Linked DNA regions of Caenorhabditis elegans. The protein of the gene in region 2 interacts with the protein of the main gene of each other region in a pairwise test. Each region holds a gene or a part of one and is shown on either strand. Other genes may lie near its edges.

Region 1 (7,316 bases), on a different chromosome or scaffold from region 2:
TTTTTCTTCATGTGGAGTTTGAGTAGCGATGAGCTAATTTCAGACCGTGTTCTGAAATGAAACAATTTTAAATTAAAGTAATGTCAATATTAACTATTTTTGAATTAAAATTCGAAATAATAAATTAAAAAACATTCTAAATGTGTTGCTGTTCCACAAATTGAACGTATTAAAAGTAATGAATGCTTTATTGCTTGCTACCTACATTCAATAATCACAAAAAATAATTCAATTTAGGCGGAAGTGGTAGCAGTTGCTGCTGTGGTTGATGCTGCAACTCCAGAAGAAGTTTCCACAGAAGCGCCACCACAAAGGTTGCAAGTGGCTCCGCAGTATTGGCTTTTTTGAGCAGGAGTGTAGAAAGTGGAGTTGCAGAACCCATTTGAAGCCCAGCTTGCACAATTACTGTTGCTATCCCCGCAGGTTGAAGAAGACGAAGAAGCCGAAGAGGAAGTTGTGCTACTAGCACCCGAACAAAGCCTACAGGACGCAGGGCAGTATTCGGTTTTTTGAGCATCAGAGTAAAATGATGAGGTGCAGAATCCGTTGGATACCCAGTTAGCGCAGCTGGAAAATTATCAATTCCAGCAGTGATAAAAAATTGCAAATGCTGAATTTTTACTTACTTTGGGTTAACATCCATGCACATTTCTACGGTAGAGAAGATGATAAGAACAGCCAAGACGCACAAAGAAGTAGATGACATTTTTGATTTAATTCAAAAACTGAATGTGTTCTGACAATGCGTTCTGATAGAATGCCTTTTATAAAACTGTTTTACGTTTGTTCAGCTTTTCCAAAAAGTTAGTTGATCCATTAAAGTGCCAAATCGGTGGGATCATCAGGTGTTTGATCCTAACAGTATCCATTTTCAAAAACGATGTTTGCATTTGTTATAACGGATATGGAAAGTTAGCAAAATTAATCATTATGTACACATATCCTATTTGAGTTGTCATGAGTAACTGGAGTGATGCTTTCAGTTGGCATTGTTTCACTGCAAATACGGAATTTTCACCCAAAATAGGAATTTTGCGGGGGTGGGGTTTTCAGTAGCCGGTTAATTTTTAATTTTTTTACTAATCTTTAAAAAAACGTTTGATTCAATGAGGTCACGCTTTAAAACAACAAATAAGTTTGGCTAGCAATAAATTTACATGAGAACATGTAAAACATCCAATAACAAAGTAATCCTTTCTATTCTTCGTAATTTCCTATAATTAATCACTTTCGATAATGATTCAATTTAATTTAAAAAAAAATAGACATCTCATTGCTATTAAAAAACTTGCACAACACGTTTTTGCTACAGTTGTAAATGTATTTTAGCTACCAGAAATATGTTTTCTGACATTTGGTAAGAAGCATTCAAACTGCACAAATGGTATCTGCAATAAAATAAAATCAAAAAAATTGCAATAAAACATTCCTTTTCAATTTTTTTTCCAATTTTTCAAAAGCAATTTTTTTACAAAAAGTTCATAAATTCAAAATCAAATAGAGCAAGAAAGACTCGTAAAAATACACTGTGAAGCTCATAAACCTGTTTGAGTTTTGAAACAAGATCGTTGAATGTAAGAACAGACGGGGGTCTTTGGGATTGGATAATGAAGCACTTTAAAAGTGTGTACAAGAATATTGGTTTGAAACATCATCAGATGAGGAGCCATTCGCATCGGCCGGGACAATCAGCAGTCAGTTTACCAAATTGCTCACAAATCTGCGACAGACGATTTTCATCAGGCATCAGTCCTTTGACGTCATGAAGAGCAGCAATTTCGGAGAGGACGAGCTTGGTAAACGCCGGCCATTGCCCGTTGCGGACCAGGGCACGGGATTTTTTCAACCACATCCGCGGATCTTTCCCTAGCAATCGATGACATCTGGCCGCTGTCATGTAGTAGCACGCCTTCTCGGTAAATGATCCAAACTGTTCAATGCCTTCATTGCATTCTTTCAAAAGTTTCAGACATTCGACATACTGACCATGGCACATCTGTAAATTTAGATTCTAAAAATTGTTTTTCATTTGATAAATGCGATGTTCTCAGAAAACGTTTATTTTATCTAACTAGTAAGCGAGTATAGTCTGACATATCTGGTGACATCTATAAAAAATACAATACCTTATGTTTTCAAACATCTCACTTCAAACAATTTTTAAGGCTGAATAAAAAATAATTTTCGGAGTGCAGCGCAAAATTTACGGATTCAAAACCCTAACGACAGTGCTCCACTTTGTAGATTCTTCAGTGAAATATCAAGATGGCGTAAAAAAATTCATGCAATTTTTTCTTTACATAAAATGCTTACCAGCATAGTTGCTTGTCTTCTCTTGACCATTGGCACAATGTCCTTCAGTGTGGTGTTCTCAGCAAGACTCAAGGCGTCTGCAAATTCTCTTGCAGCTTTTCTAAATTCTTGACTAGCCGTGTAAATGCATCCTGTTTGCATGTGAATTCGAATTCTTCCACGAATGTCCACAACGTTCAATCCCTCCAACACTTCAACACTTGCCCGTTCTTTTCCGGCTGCGGCGAGGAGAAGAGCTTGTCTAAAAAAATTATAGAAATTAAATGAGGTAATACTTTCAATTGCAACTCACCGAAGCTTGCATTCTAGTTCAGAGTGTGCTGCGAGATTCAAAACTTCAGAAGCACAAGCCTTGTAGTCATTTTTCAATAAGAATCTTTCAAAGTTGATGACAGCTGCACAAATGACAACGTGACGGTTGGACTGCCAAGAAAGTTCTTCCGGATAATTTTGTCGCATTTCCTCAATAGTTCTTAGTGCCGCGTCGTAGTTTCCGACTCCAGCTTGTGAATAAGATAGGTTTACCGCACCAATTGCCTGAAAATTGATACATCATACTTGAATTTCATTAGATACATATAAATTTTGCACCAATTTATTATTTGTCACAGTTCTAACTTGTACTTACCCAAGGTTCGGCCTGAAAAGGAGCCTGGAAGGGGTCTGTTTCATCGGTTCTGCAATTGTTTGCCAGCATGTTTTCTGCGGCGCACTTTGCTTGATGATACATTCCATTATGAATCCTGAAATTCAGAATGGTTTCTAGGCCATTTGCAACGAGCTACTTACATGTTACTAGATATCAGAGCAGCTCCATAAGCAGCCACTTTTCGTCCTCGTTCTCCAAGATCATTACCGACTGGACACGTTATTCCGGTTTCCGCAACTCTGTCGTAGATCCTGTAAATTTGGAAAGTTAAAGCGACGTCTCTGATTGAATGCTCACAGCTTATAGTTTCCTTCTGCAATGATCTTCATCAACATGAGCATTTTTCCATATGAGTCCATCTCTGCGACAAGCTCAAAATCTTCTTCAGAACTTAGACAGCAAGGCCCGGATCGCGTATGTCCGTGAAGACTGAAATGTACTAATTAGTTTTATGACTCTATACTAGTAGATAATCCAACTTACTCGTCTATGTGCAGCAAGGCTTTTCTCTGAACTCGCCGTTCATTTTCAATGTGCTTAGCGGTTTCTGCAAATTTGATTTGTTGTTGTCTTAGTTCTTATTGATTCAAAAAATAATAGACGAGCTCACTTTCATTGTTATCCTCAAGCAGCGCCCTGCATCCCAATATGTCGACAGTGTGCATTTCGATGTTGGCCATTTGATGGCAAATCTCATCATTTCGGAGCTGGGCTTGTTGGAGACTCTCGTGGAGCAGGAGACGAGCCATTTGGCTGGAAAATGAGAATATTTATGTACTCTTTATTGATATATCTTACTAGTCTCCAAATATTCTGCAAATTCTGGCTTGAAGAATCGGTGCATACATCAACGGGGTTTGAGTTGGAACTGCCAATCGATGCGTTTTTGCGGCATGCACCATGTTCTCATTTAGTCTGAAAATTATTTTTTTTGTTCTTAAACCTCGGTGGCGGTATAACGGTATAACACTTACTCAAACATGGACAACTCGAAAAACGATTTCATTGCCTTAATAGCCGACGAGCTATCTTTCAATTGAACTTGCACAATGGCCTCTAGCAGGAACCCTTCAACAACGTCCGGGTGTCGCTTCTGTACGATCCGGGTGTAGTGAAGCATCTCGTTATATTGGAAGGCAAAACGTGGGTTCTTCTGTAAAAACATGGAAACATTATTACTTTTCTTTTGTCAGTTTCAAACAGAGCTCCCAGCTGAGTGAGGCGCAAAATCCGGGCCTCACGCCGTCGCCGCGCGCCGCTGTGTGTGTGAAATGAAGTTCGAGAGGTAGTCATTCAAAGCGGCCGACACGTTCGGGGTTCCGCAGCTCAGCGTGAAATGAGTAGCATGGTGTGTGCGCAACGTAGTGTGAAAAGGTGGTGGGCTGGAAGCGGCCGACACGTTCGGAGGTCTGCGCTTCACTGTACATGCGGCGAGGGTGACGACGTGAGGCTGGCTCGGCGACCGCATGGGAGTTTTAGTTTCAAATAGTATCTCACCTGAATGAAGTAAATGCTCTTAGCAACCCAATCCCTTGCTCTGACAGAACAGTCGATGAAGTGTGGAAGATACTCTCCCTTGAACTCGGGATGATATCTGCAAAAGTTTCGGTATTTTTAGCAAAGCTTCGTCACTTACTTTGATTCAACAGCAGACAAAACCCATGATTTCATGGCTGCATTTATCTGGAACACTTCTGAAGGAGTTGACTTGGTGTATTGTGCCAGGAGCTGAAATATAATCAAACTGAAACAAATTTTTTCGATTGAAAAATCATACTCGTTTCATCCATCTGTACATAAACGAGTGATTGGAAGAAAACTGGATAATGTCTCCGCGCGCCAAGTCCATAGCTTCATGTACAGTGTCATTTGCTGGCAATTTCGGATCCTTTGGGTGCTTGTTGGTGTAGAACTCATCTTCAACGTTAAGAGTAACATCCGCCATTCCGGCGCCAATTTTCTCCATACTGAAAGAATGGAGAGATGCCAGCGGATTGTTTTGTATTATTGATTATGCTTATAATGCTCCAGAAAATCGAGCTAAGAAACATTATTGCATTTAATTTATTGTCGAATTGTTTGACTAGTTTTTATAATAGTTTACAATAAATTATAATGTTTTTTTAATTGTATAAAATGAAAATCGTTTGACTTACGCTGCATAAAAGTTTTTACAAACTTCACGGCCGTCATCAAATGCAAGTCGAGTGACAATTCTGAAGTCCTTATAAGAAAGCTCCACGACTGACGTCATCAATGCATACAGCCAATGGAAGATTCTAAAACATGAATTTGGTTTCTTTTTTTAAAATTTTTCCAAACTACTTACCGTTCTTTTTCGGCGGGGCTAAATGGTTTGTAGTAAGCACGTTTGTGACGGAATCCAAAGTGTGTTTGAAAAAGAATGCGAAGAAGGTAGAACGTTGCAATCTTAAGTAAATTTTTAGTACTTTGAAGGTTTTCTAAACTAAAAAACTTACTTTTGTTGGAGTCACTGGCTCTCCTGTCAAATTTGAGAAGACATGGCCGAAAATTGCATCCAAGTTGAGATAACTCCGTTTGATGATGGGCCGCGGCGCCGCTTTCTGCATTTCTGGAAAAAAAATATATAAAAACCTTGTTTTTTAAAGGTAATACTAGAAAATAGACGACTAAAATTCAAAAAAATGAAGAGGGATCGGTGCAGGTCGGTGGCTGCAGGCGCATTATTGGTTTGCTGGCGTGTTTCTCGTGGAGGAGGGGCGGGCGGGAGGACACACCATGTAGCAGAGAAAACTCTCTTATTTTGTGCACTCTCTCATCGGTATGGCCCGTTCTCAAACAACACACAACAGATATTATGAAGACATGGTTTTGATATGCATTCAGTTTACTAGAGACAAACTACAATAAAAGAGGAACGATGAAATTAGCATAATCCGCAAGTTTTAGCACAGTAGAGTTCACGTTGAGCATCTGTGTAGAAGCTGTTAGTGCAGAAGCCGTTGGCCGCCCAAGATGAGCATCTGAAAGTTCAACTTGTTTTAGGCTAGTCAGTAGAATTGATTGATCTTACGATGAAGCTGAATCTGTGCAACTAGATGATGTAGAAGCGGTAGAGCTCGACGAAGAAGAGTCACTGGAAGAAGAGCACAGAGAGCAGGTAGCTGCACAGTACTGAGTTTTGATAGCAGTAGTGTAGAAGGAAGAAGTGCAAAATCCATTAGCAGCCCAGGAAGTACATCTAGAAGGTTTTTATTTTGCAAGTGGCAAATAATCAAGTCTTACGTGGAAAAAGAATCTACACATGTGGTAGTGGTTGAGGAAGATGTAGAAGATACGACAGATGTGGAATCTGAGGATGAAGTGGATGATGAAGAATTGGAAGAGGTTGTTGAAGAATCAGAGGATGTAGTAGAAGAACTGTCAGCTGTTGTTGTGTCTGAAGAAGATGTTGAAGACGCGGAGCTGGAAGATGATGAAGAAGATGAAGAAGAATCATCACTGGACGTTGCAGCTGTGGACGAAGAAGAACTTGTAGAAGCAGTGGACGATGAAGAGCTAGAATCTGAAGAATCAGAGCACAAAGAGCAGGTTGATGCGCAGTATTGGGTTTTCTGAGCGGTAGTGTAGAATGTAGAGGTGCAAAACCCATTGGCAACCCAGTTCGCGCAGCTGGAAGAAAAAAAAATGAAATTTCAAATTTCAAACTGAATAAATAATCTGTAACTTACTTTGAAGCCGAGTCGGAGCACATTTCAGCGCTTGAAACAAAGAAAACAATTGTTAAAACGAAGAAGGTGTTCATGGTAGTGAGAGTTGAAAGTTGAATGTTCTGTGGGCCCTCACTGGCTAACTTTTATCCGATCTGTTTCCTGTTTGAACAACTGTCACAACGTTTTGACCCCTAATAAGCATTGGCACCTAGAGGAGGAACTATTAATGAATACATAGGTCTATAACAAGTTGCGCTCGATCATATGAATCATAAAGTTGCTGATCTTAAAAAGACAAATGAATTTTTATTTCTGAACTATGTTTTAATGAAATCAGCCAATAATAATTATTATTACAGTTAAAATTTTAATCGGTGAAAACTATTTCATTTTCCCATTGATATTACACCAGCAAACCTGCGTCTGCAAATGATGAAGGTCAAACGCCACATGCTACGTTTTCTTGATAACGATATCATTTTTCACTATTTATTTTTTTCAATCATCTTCAAATTTCGCGGCCCGGTTAGCTCAGTCGGTAGAGCACCAGACTCTTAATCTGGTTGTCGCGGGTTCGAGCCCCGCATTGGGCTTATCCTTTTGTAGAATTCGGATATTCTGTTCAAACATCTCGCCTGATAATTTAAACCTTTAAACTT
Region 2 (8,442 bases):
TTTTCTTGGAAAAAAACTTAATATTTTGAAGAAATCAGATCAGGTATTGCGGTATTTTAAAAACTGCATCTAATCTTATTAATATTGTCCAAGTGTCCATATGTTACCTACCTAAAATCCTTTGATCTCCCCTTCCCCTTGTTTCATTTAATTCAAAAAACGGTGTGTCCTTTGGTGAGATGTTGTGACCGGGTATTCCCATCTGTTTTCTTCGTACCACCTGCCCCTGTATTCTCTAATTATAATACCTGTCTCTGTGTGTGTGTGTGTGACCACAGACACAGAAGCCATTCATTTCGGATTCATTCCCCACTCAACCACAAACCTACTCATTTACCCGCATAAATTGGTAGAAGAGAACCACAAAATGAGATTTATTTTTTATATTGTACGTACATTTGTATATAGTTTTTGGTCTATGAATTGGTTTTTTTTAACTGTAAAGAATTTTTAGATAATATGCTAAAATAACTTTTTTTGGTTTAAAAACGGCTATTCGATTGTAACTGCACGGACCAACTTTTCCTACGAGACAGAAAAACGGGTGGTCTGAAATGGAGAATTTCATTAACAATCGGCTGCATAGAATTATAAAATCTATATTTTGTAAATATTAGGGAAGTTTCTAGATGATATATGGTAAAAAGCTCAGATCGACGATTTATCTTGTGGCTACCAACCAGTTATAACAGGAGTGAACAGTAATTCATACGATTCCAAAGTTCGAAAAAAAAGTTCACTAGATATACAGTAACCCTTCTGTATACTTTTTTGTCCAATTTTAAACTTTCATTTTCTCTTCAAACATTCTTTCTCTTTTTTCATAAAATCCTTGTTCACCTAAACATCCACTTCTATTCAACAAATACTTTCAACACTCACATGTGGTTAACTATTTCTTTTCTTGACACAGAGTTTCTATTCACTTTTTATTCCTGCGTCTCTACGCGTTTCAATTCTATCTCCTCTCACTCCAAAACTTATTTACCATTTGTTTTCACAGTCATCACTTCCTCAACCCACTCGAATAACATTTGTAATTCTCGCGCACAGTCCCATCCCACTTATTCTTTTCATTTTCGAGGGTCCCATTTCTGTCTAAATCTCTCCACTTCATATACTATTCTCGCATATCCTACCTCCAACTTCTCCACACAGCCGCCTGTCTCTACAACCTTTTCCATCTGTCTTTTCCGCTTTACAAGGCCATTTTTTGACTGATCCATCTCTAAACTCTCCTAGAATCACATGATATCTCGGAGGTGTGGACGTTCCTCTTGATTCGATTAACTCGGCCAAGTTCGTCTTAAGTTATTCTTTTATGATATATCTATTCATTTTTTATTTATTCTCCGAGAAAAAGTTGGATTTTGGTTTTAAATATTTAGCACGAAAATCGAAATTTGGATAACAAATTTCGAATTTCCAAACATCAAAGTTTCTCTACTAGTTAATGCAGGACTAGGAAAAACTAGATTTTTCATTAAAAAAGCAATTGTGATATTAGATTTTTTTCACTTTTCTTGTTTTTACCTAGAAAAAAAATGGGGTTAAAGCTTGTTTTCAAAATTTTCAGCCACTTTTTTAAACTTCCTAATCTAAAGGAATGATTTGAAACTTGTTTTTATAATAACGAATTGTTTATTAGTATTGTTGTACTTTAGTTTAAGTATGATGTACCAATTTGAATAATTGTTGAATCAAACATTTTCACTTTTTCAGTAATTGTATCTATGTACATAAAAATTTTAAAATTAATACTCTATTCAAATGATTTTTTTCAAATTCCAGTTCGTATTTGTAAATTTCCAAATTCTGGAAGATTCGTTCGACCTTTTTTCTAATGTTCTTCTATCTAAAATAAATTGGGATATTAGTATCAATCTTCTCATTTTTTATTATTTTCCTTTTTCAGTTCATGAAACACATACCCCTCCAAATATTTCACAATATGTATTTTTTGTTATTATTTCAGCCGTTTTGCATCGTTCTATTTATTCAACTGATTCTTCTTTTTCCAACTAACCAATTGTCAATCTTGCAGAAAAAACGAACGATATCCGGTGAGCAGCGGCTCGCTGAGCACCTATTTTTTAGAAACATCTGAAAAAGATCAGAGATTGGACTGTAAAAGTAAGTTTTGTTTCGGGTGTATAACCTCATATTTTCGAAAAATTTGAAATTACAATTCCCAATAAAAGTAAGGTTTTTCGAAATTTTCTTTTAAATTATTAATTAACAAAAAAAGTGACAATTATGTACTTTTGTCCAACTATTAATATATCTTAAATATGTTTTATTTGTATTTGAACATTTTGGGGTTAGAACATGCAGCAATGCTCAAAAACTTGTCAACAATTTTTTTTTTCAATTTGACAATTTACCAAAGCTTTTTTTCAATCCCTAGAAGATTCTCGAGATGACCTCCAAGCGAGTCATTTCTTCCTTATTTCTATCAATAGTCATCAGTCATCACTTGCGATTATATCACCCCTTTTCCTCGCTTATCATCTTATCAACACACTCGGTTCACTCAAAATATCAACAGCTTTTAGGACACTTTTCCTCAAAAAATCGACACCCCGTATGTAATACAAATACACACAAAACACGTCGTAACATAAAATTCTGAATCTGAAAATAGGAAAGTAGGTGGAGAAAGGGTACATTAAAAGCAGAAGAAGAATCGAACGAAAAGAAAAAGAGTGATAAGAATAAGAGAAGGGACACACAACACTCCGAGTGTTGCAGCTGATTATCAGTTGTGTCCATTCTTCGTTTTTCACCCTCGAAGAGTCAAACGGCCATTCGACTTTATTTTGAAATTCTAAGTTTTTAACAGAAATTCTTTATTATGTCAAGTGACGAGGAAGATGAGAACTCTCAAAGAGAGCCAAAAGATGTGAGTTTTCGGTTGAATCTAATGCAACTTACCGTCTACCGATTCACCAACTGAATACATCTATGTTTATTTGAGTTGGAAAACTGTCATCTTTAAGCCTACATGCCTGCCTACCACCTATTAAAAGCTTTTTGGCGTGAACATCAGTGTTTGATGCTGCAAAATATAGACTTGAGCACATTAAAATCATGAAGATGTAACATGCAAGCATAAAATATGATTCAAGTAACATTTTGTATGCTCATTGGGTGAGCACACAAAATGGAAAATTGACACAATTGTAGTAAGGTCAGTCGTGCAACATTTAATTGCAAGATTACAACTGCATAGAAAATGCAATTTGAAAAGAGAACTTCAAAAATTCTGTAAGACAGCCAATGTACCGACGCAATAAATCTTATTTTGGTGCAAATGTGTTTTTATAAACCTGTGCCATTTCAAATTTAGCTGTGTCCCTAAGCTTCATTTTGCTCTCTGTATTCTCTTTCGGTGCTCTTTCCAAAAGCTCCACATCTGGTACCTATTGCTCCAAATGAACTCTTTTGCTGACCCTGATGTGCAACAGATGCTTTGCGCGCACACACATGTTACTTTTTTCCAATTCATTTGATTCGGTCGGACACTCACTTTTAGATATTCCCATATACCATTCCCAACAACGACAAAATATAGATAAACATTGATCAAACCTCAAGTTAATTTACGCATCTCTTTGTCTGCGTCTCTACATCTTTCTCGATCTCTTCATCTTTATTTACGTTTGCTCTTCATCTCTGTTCAAAACCGTAACCGGCCAAAAGAGGGAAGAGCAGAGAGATAGAGTGGTTTATAGTGAGACGCAGACATCGGTGCACCGGGCAACCAGCCGGCTCGCCATAAATCGTCGAATTCTATTGATTGACTTTTATTGTATTTCTATTATAAAAAGTTGAATTTCAGAATTGTTTTGTGTTTTACTTTTTACTATGAAGTTATTGCAAGAGCTGATTTGGTAAGAGCCCTCTTACTATTTTTTTTTCAAAAATATGAATTTCGAAACACTAATAAAGTTCATTTCTGATTCGTTTTTGATATAATCATTAGCTTCATTGACGTTTTGGAGTACTGCTCAAAAAATATAGCTCCTAACAAGTGTAACTCTAAAAATTTGGGTTGTGTAAAGTTTTGGTTTTTTTTGAATTTTTTTAATGTGCAAAATTAATCTCTCAATTTTGAAAGTAAAACAAAAACTAAAAGATTTTTTTAAAATTGAAAATATTTTTTGTTTATGAAATATTTTTAAATTAAAATGTTAACCTCTAAAAATACTAATCAACAGTTTCAATTTTTAAAAAAGTCCAGAGCTGTGTGCCAAACAAATCCAGAAGTTGGTTTAAACTCTTAGAAACTCTTTGGTTATTTTCAGATGTCCTGGATGTTGCGAAGTCTATCAGCCAGATTCTCACGGAATCGTCAACAGCAACAGAAGTCACAAACACAGGATGCAAGCTTTGATACGAAAAAGTTTGTTCAGTGCAAGGTGCTTCTGCTTGATGGAGCACATTTAAATATTGTCGTGCCGGTGAGTGGTCTTTTTATTTTTGAAAATAACTGTTATTAAATGTCGGTTCTTGTAGAACTATTTTGGCAAATTAGTGCCTGAAATTCAAAGAAAAATGGAGTCAAAAATCATAGATAAACCTATTGCGAATAAAAAAAGTGGCAAAATGTGTTGCATATGCAGATTAATTATTTTTTAAAAAGTTTTTATAATTCTCGAACATCCATTCTAGTATCTCAAAATATAAATTTTCAGAGAAACGCTGTAGGAAGTGAACTTTACGAAGAAGTATTCTACTCGCTTGACCTAGAAGAGAGGGACTATTTTGGCCTGCAGTACACAGATCCATTCAATGTTCAGGTATTCATTTAATTATTTCTTTATTTTATTTTTTCAAACCTTTTTATATTTCCAGCACTGGCTAGACCCTACAAAAAAAGTTGCAAAACAAGTGGCAATTGGACCTCCATTTACTCTTCGGTTTCGTGTTAAATTCTTTACTTCGGAACCTTCTAGCAATTTGAAAGAAGAGCTTACAAGGTATACTTAATCAGTAATGTATTTTTTTAAAATAAATTTCTGCAGGTATCAATTCTTTTTGCAAATAAAACAAGATATCTCCTCAGGACGTCTGCAATGTCCACATCAGTTAGCAATTGAACTAGCTGCTTTTGCACTTCAATGTGAGTTTTTTTTCAATTCTAAAAAAATTAAGCATTTTAAACATAAAAAATTTCAGCAGAACTAGGCGATTACAACCCAGAACTTCATACAGCCCTCTTTATCTCAGAATTTCGATTTCATCCGGAGCAAGATGAAAAAATGGAAGTCGAGATATTGGAGAGGTACAAAGCGTGCCGGTAAGTTTTTTTGTTATAAAATTAAAAAAAAGATTGTTAGAAAACTTTACAGCACATGTAAAATATAGTCTAAAAATTTAAAAACTGGAAAACCTTTTAGAGTTTGATATTACTTTCCCGAAAATGTCAATTTTTGAAATGCATTATATTGTTCTGGTATTTGCCAGAAATCAATATTCTAATCAGTGTGAAACCCGGGATTTTCTGCTGGATCAAATTAGAGGACACCTGAAAGTTGAGAGAAACTTGGTTAGACGTAAATATTTCAATCAGGAAATTGACTATTTGAGAATCAAAACTACATAGATACAATTTTAAATTTGATAACAAATGTTTGATAATTTCAATCTTAAAGAACAAAAAATACACTTATTTGAAAATTGCAGTATTTGCCTAAGTTTCAAATAAAAACATTTCGGACAGAAAAAAATTACCTAATTGGTTTTATTTTCAATTTCATGCTTCTCAATCTAAAAACTAAAATAACATTTTTCAGTGGACAAACTCCGGCTCAAGCGGAGTTGAACTACTTGAATAAGGCACGATGGATTGAAATGTACGGAGTAGATATGCATATTGTAGAAGGAAAAGATGGAAATACATATCGATTGGGTTTAACTCCACAAGGAATGCTGGTATTTGATGGTCCACAGAAAATTGGACTCTTTTTATGGGAAAAACTACAAAAATTGGATTTCAAAAATAAGAAAATTACACTGGTTGTCGAGGAGGATGCTGATCAATCGGTGAGTTTTTTTAATGAAAAGTTTAATGAAGATTAGAGTAGCAGTTTTGTACAATTTATTAATTGAAAAAAATGTGCAAAATAACTTTAAAAATAGTAACTTTTTCAGAACAATGGCCAAATCCAGCTGCACACGTTCGTTTTTCACTTGACGTCTGAAAAAGCGGCAAAACATTTCTGGAAATGTGCCATCGAGCAACACGCATTTTTCCGCCTCAAATCTCGCCCAATCCAAGCGAATCGCAAAATTCAGTTCTTCCGGTTAGGAAGCACATTTAAGTATAGAGGCAGGACAGAATATGAAACAATTCATAAGGAAGGAGCAAGATTATCACGAAGACAATCATGCTCATTTGAAAGAAGACCTAGTCAGAGATATGGTCCACGGCAAAGTCATGTGACAAATGCACAAATTAGGGATGCAAAGAGAGCTGAAATGAGGCAACAGGTACATTTCACGCTAAAAATTCAACAAAAATTGGAGTAATTATTTAGAGTTTATTTTTCGATTCATGAAACATTTGGCATCGATCTAACGTTCAATTTTAAATTTTGCTCACTAGTCAGTTCAAAAGGTTTAACCTATCATTTTTGGAAAGTCGGATACAATTTTTTAAAAAACTTAAAAATTTTTTAATTTCTGAATTAGCTTAAACTCAAAAATGCAAACAAACTTTTTTCCAGATAATTGAGCAACAAAGAGCCAATGATCAACAGCGAACCCATGCAAAATCAGATCCAACTTCTCCACATTCAATAATTCAAAACGTTCCATTACCAACATCTCCAGACCTCAAAAAACCAGTAAACAACAGTAATCCATTTATTTCGGATCCTTTAACACCTTCATCATCATCATCATCATCCTCTCATAATCTGTCACATGTAACTAAAATAACAGTTGGAACAATTGGAAATCTCGATACTCCATCATCTTCTGCTGCCCCATCTTCATATATTCCACGTCCAGTTGTCTCAACATCCACATCATTCTCACATCCGCCACCACTTCCAGCTCATCAGTCAAATTCGAAAATTCCCAGAATGAGCAGTGCATCGGAGCAGCGGAAGAGCTCACAACCTCCACAACCAGCTGTTCGAATGCAGACTCAATTTGAAGTAAGTTAAATTTATTGATGGACAGTATGTTTTCAAATACTCCATAAACTTTCCAGGAGCCACGAAAATATTCACAAAATGGATGTGCTCCGCCATCTCGTATTGTTCCCCCAATGCAACATCAACGGAGAATTGTCACAGACTTTTGATAATGTATTTACATTTGCAGCCTTTATTTTGTTGTTTTCAGTCATTTTTCATATAATGAAATGATTTTCTTTCTTATAACATTTTCAGATAATTTCTAATCGCACTTTATAAAATGATACAAAAATTTCGTATTTTCTCGAAAAACCCAAAAACTCCGGCTCCTGCCTGAAAAGTGCTAGAGTCTTCTAATCTGGTCACTCTTTTCATTCCACGTGTGTCTATTTGCACCGGCTCGAGTGCAATCGGGATATTCCCCTCTGAAATCCAGTCCCTCCATCCTGTTTTCTCTCACTCATTTTTTCACTTTTTTGCATTTTTTCCACCAGAGAAACTATTTGTCTTCATTCTCCTTCCTTTCCTCCTCCAACAAAATCTTATGCTCTCCCGCCACCCCCACTCACTACACAAACACTGACGATCGTTTTGAGCACAGCCAATTTCTTTCCGATTTTCGATCAATTCAGACTGTGTTCTGTGTAAGTACTTTGCCCTCCTTCCCTTCACTGGACTTCATCTGAAGCCACCACTTCCACACGTTATCCTGAATTTGAATGTGGAATGTTTGGAAAAGTGATGATGATTGTATGATAACTATCGAGAGACGTAGACATAGAGATATCTCCGATCCACTAATTGGAACCAGAGACTGACTGACTGACCCCCCTCATCAACTCTCTTCACTTCACCACACCTCCCGATTTTTATTACATTTTTGTGTGACCTCCCTCCCGGGCGCTAGTACACTTTTAGGTCGTGGTCCCCCATTTTTACACCTTTACACTTTATCGGAATATCTGCGCAGATATTGGCTATTGTAGGGCTTTCGAGTAAGCAAATAGCTTACTAGGCAACTCTGATATAGAGGTTTTATGGTTGCATAAGCATGAAATTATAGGCTCTTCCAAGAGTTTCTTGATCTCTTGGCGGTCTTTTCTGTTGTCATATTCTTTTGTTTCAAATTGCCCGATGTTATACAAAACAGTGCCAATTTTCAATGCGAGCAGCGGTCTTCTTGTAGTCAGGGTTTTAGTGCTCTCAGCAATTTCTTAAATAATTTGTTTTTAATTCAAGGCTGCGGTGGCCCTTCTCCAAAGTTATAGTTCTTTCCCAATTAAATTCTAAATGT

What was found. The genes of interacting proteins can lie anywhere in the genome.
Region 1: the proteins of frm-2 (region 2) and gfi-3 interact in a two-hybrid assay, tested with the Caenorhabditis elegans proteins (one study listed by BioGRID).

The regions. Positions count from the first base shown.
Region 1 is NC_003284.9:14,478,811-14,486,126, reverse strand, and holds gfi-3 (Protein gfi-3), read right to left. Parts: upstream 5,556-7,316; 5' UTR 5,554-5,555; coding exon 5,443-5,553; intron 5,393-5,442; coding exon 5,292-5,392; intron 5,242-5,291; coding exon 5,119-5,241; intron 4,930-5,118; coding exon 4,740-4,929; intron 4,691-4,739; coding exon 4,599-4,690; intron 4,557-4,598; coding exon 4,460-4,556; intron 4,116-4,459; coding exon 3,937-4,115; intron 3,878-3,936; coding exon 3,761-3,877; intron 3,716-3,760; coding exon 3,573-3,715; intron 3,510-3,572; coding exon 3,446-3,509; intron 3,392-3,445; coding exon 3,260-3,391; intron 3,214-3,259; coding exon 3,103-3,213; intron 3,057-3,102; coding exon 2,942-3,056; intron 2,851-2,941; coding exon 2,606-2,850; intron 2,555-2,605; coding exon 2,314-2,554; intron 1,997-2,313; coding exon 1,655-1,996; 3' UTR 1,425-1,654; downstream 1-1,424. Other genes in the region: M163.8 (ShKT domain-containing protein), read right to left, coding at 234-567, 627-706; M163.11 (ShKT domain-containing protein), read right to left, coding at 5,871-5,967, 6,018-6,185, 6,230-6,616, 6,676-6,749. UniProt on the Caenorhabditis elegans protein: Probable component of the anaphase promoting complex/cyclosome (APC/C), a cell cycle-regulated E3 ubiquitin ligase that controls progression through mitosis and the G1 phase of the cell cycle.
Region 2 is NC_003281.10:5,975,729-5,984,170, reverse strand, and holds frm-2 (Moesin/ezrin/radixin homolog 1), read left to right. Parts: upstream 1-2,854; coding exon 2,855-2,902; intron 2,903-3,651; exon of another isoform or gene 3,652-3,787; intron 3,788-4,307; coding exon 4,308-4,463; intron 4,464-4,697; coding exon 4,698-4,802; intron 4,803-4,857; coding exon 4,858-4,982; intron 4,983-5,027; coding exon 5,028-5,125; intron 5,126-5,181; coding exon 5,182-5,302; intron 5,303-5,798; coding exon 5,799-6,048; intron 6,049-6,156; coding exon 6,157-6,495; intron 6,496-6,731; coding exon 6,732-7,166; intron 7,167-7,222; coding exon 7,223-7,315; downstream 7,316-8,442.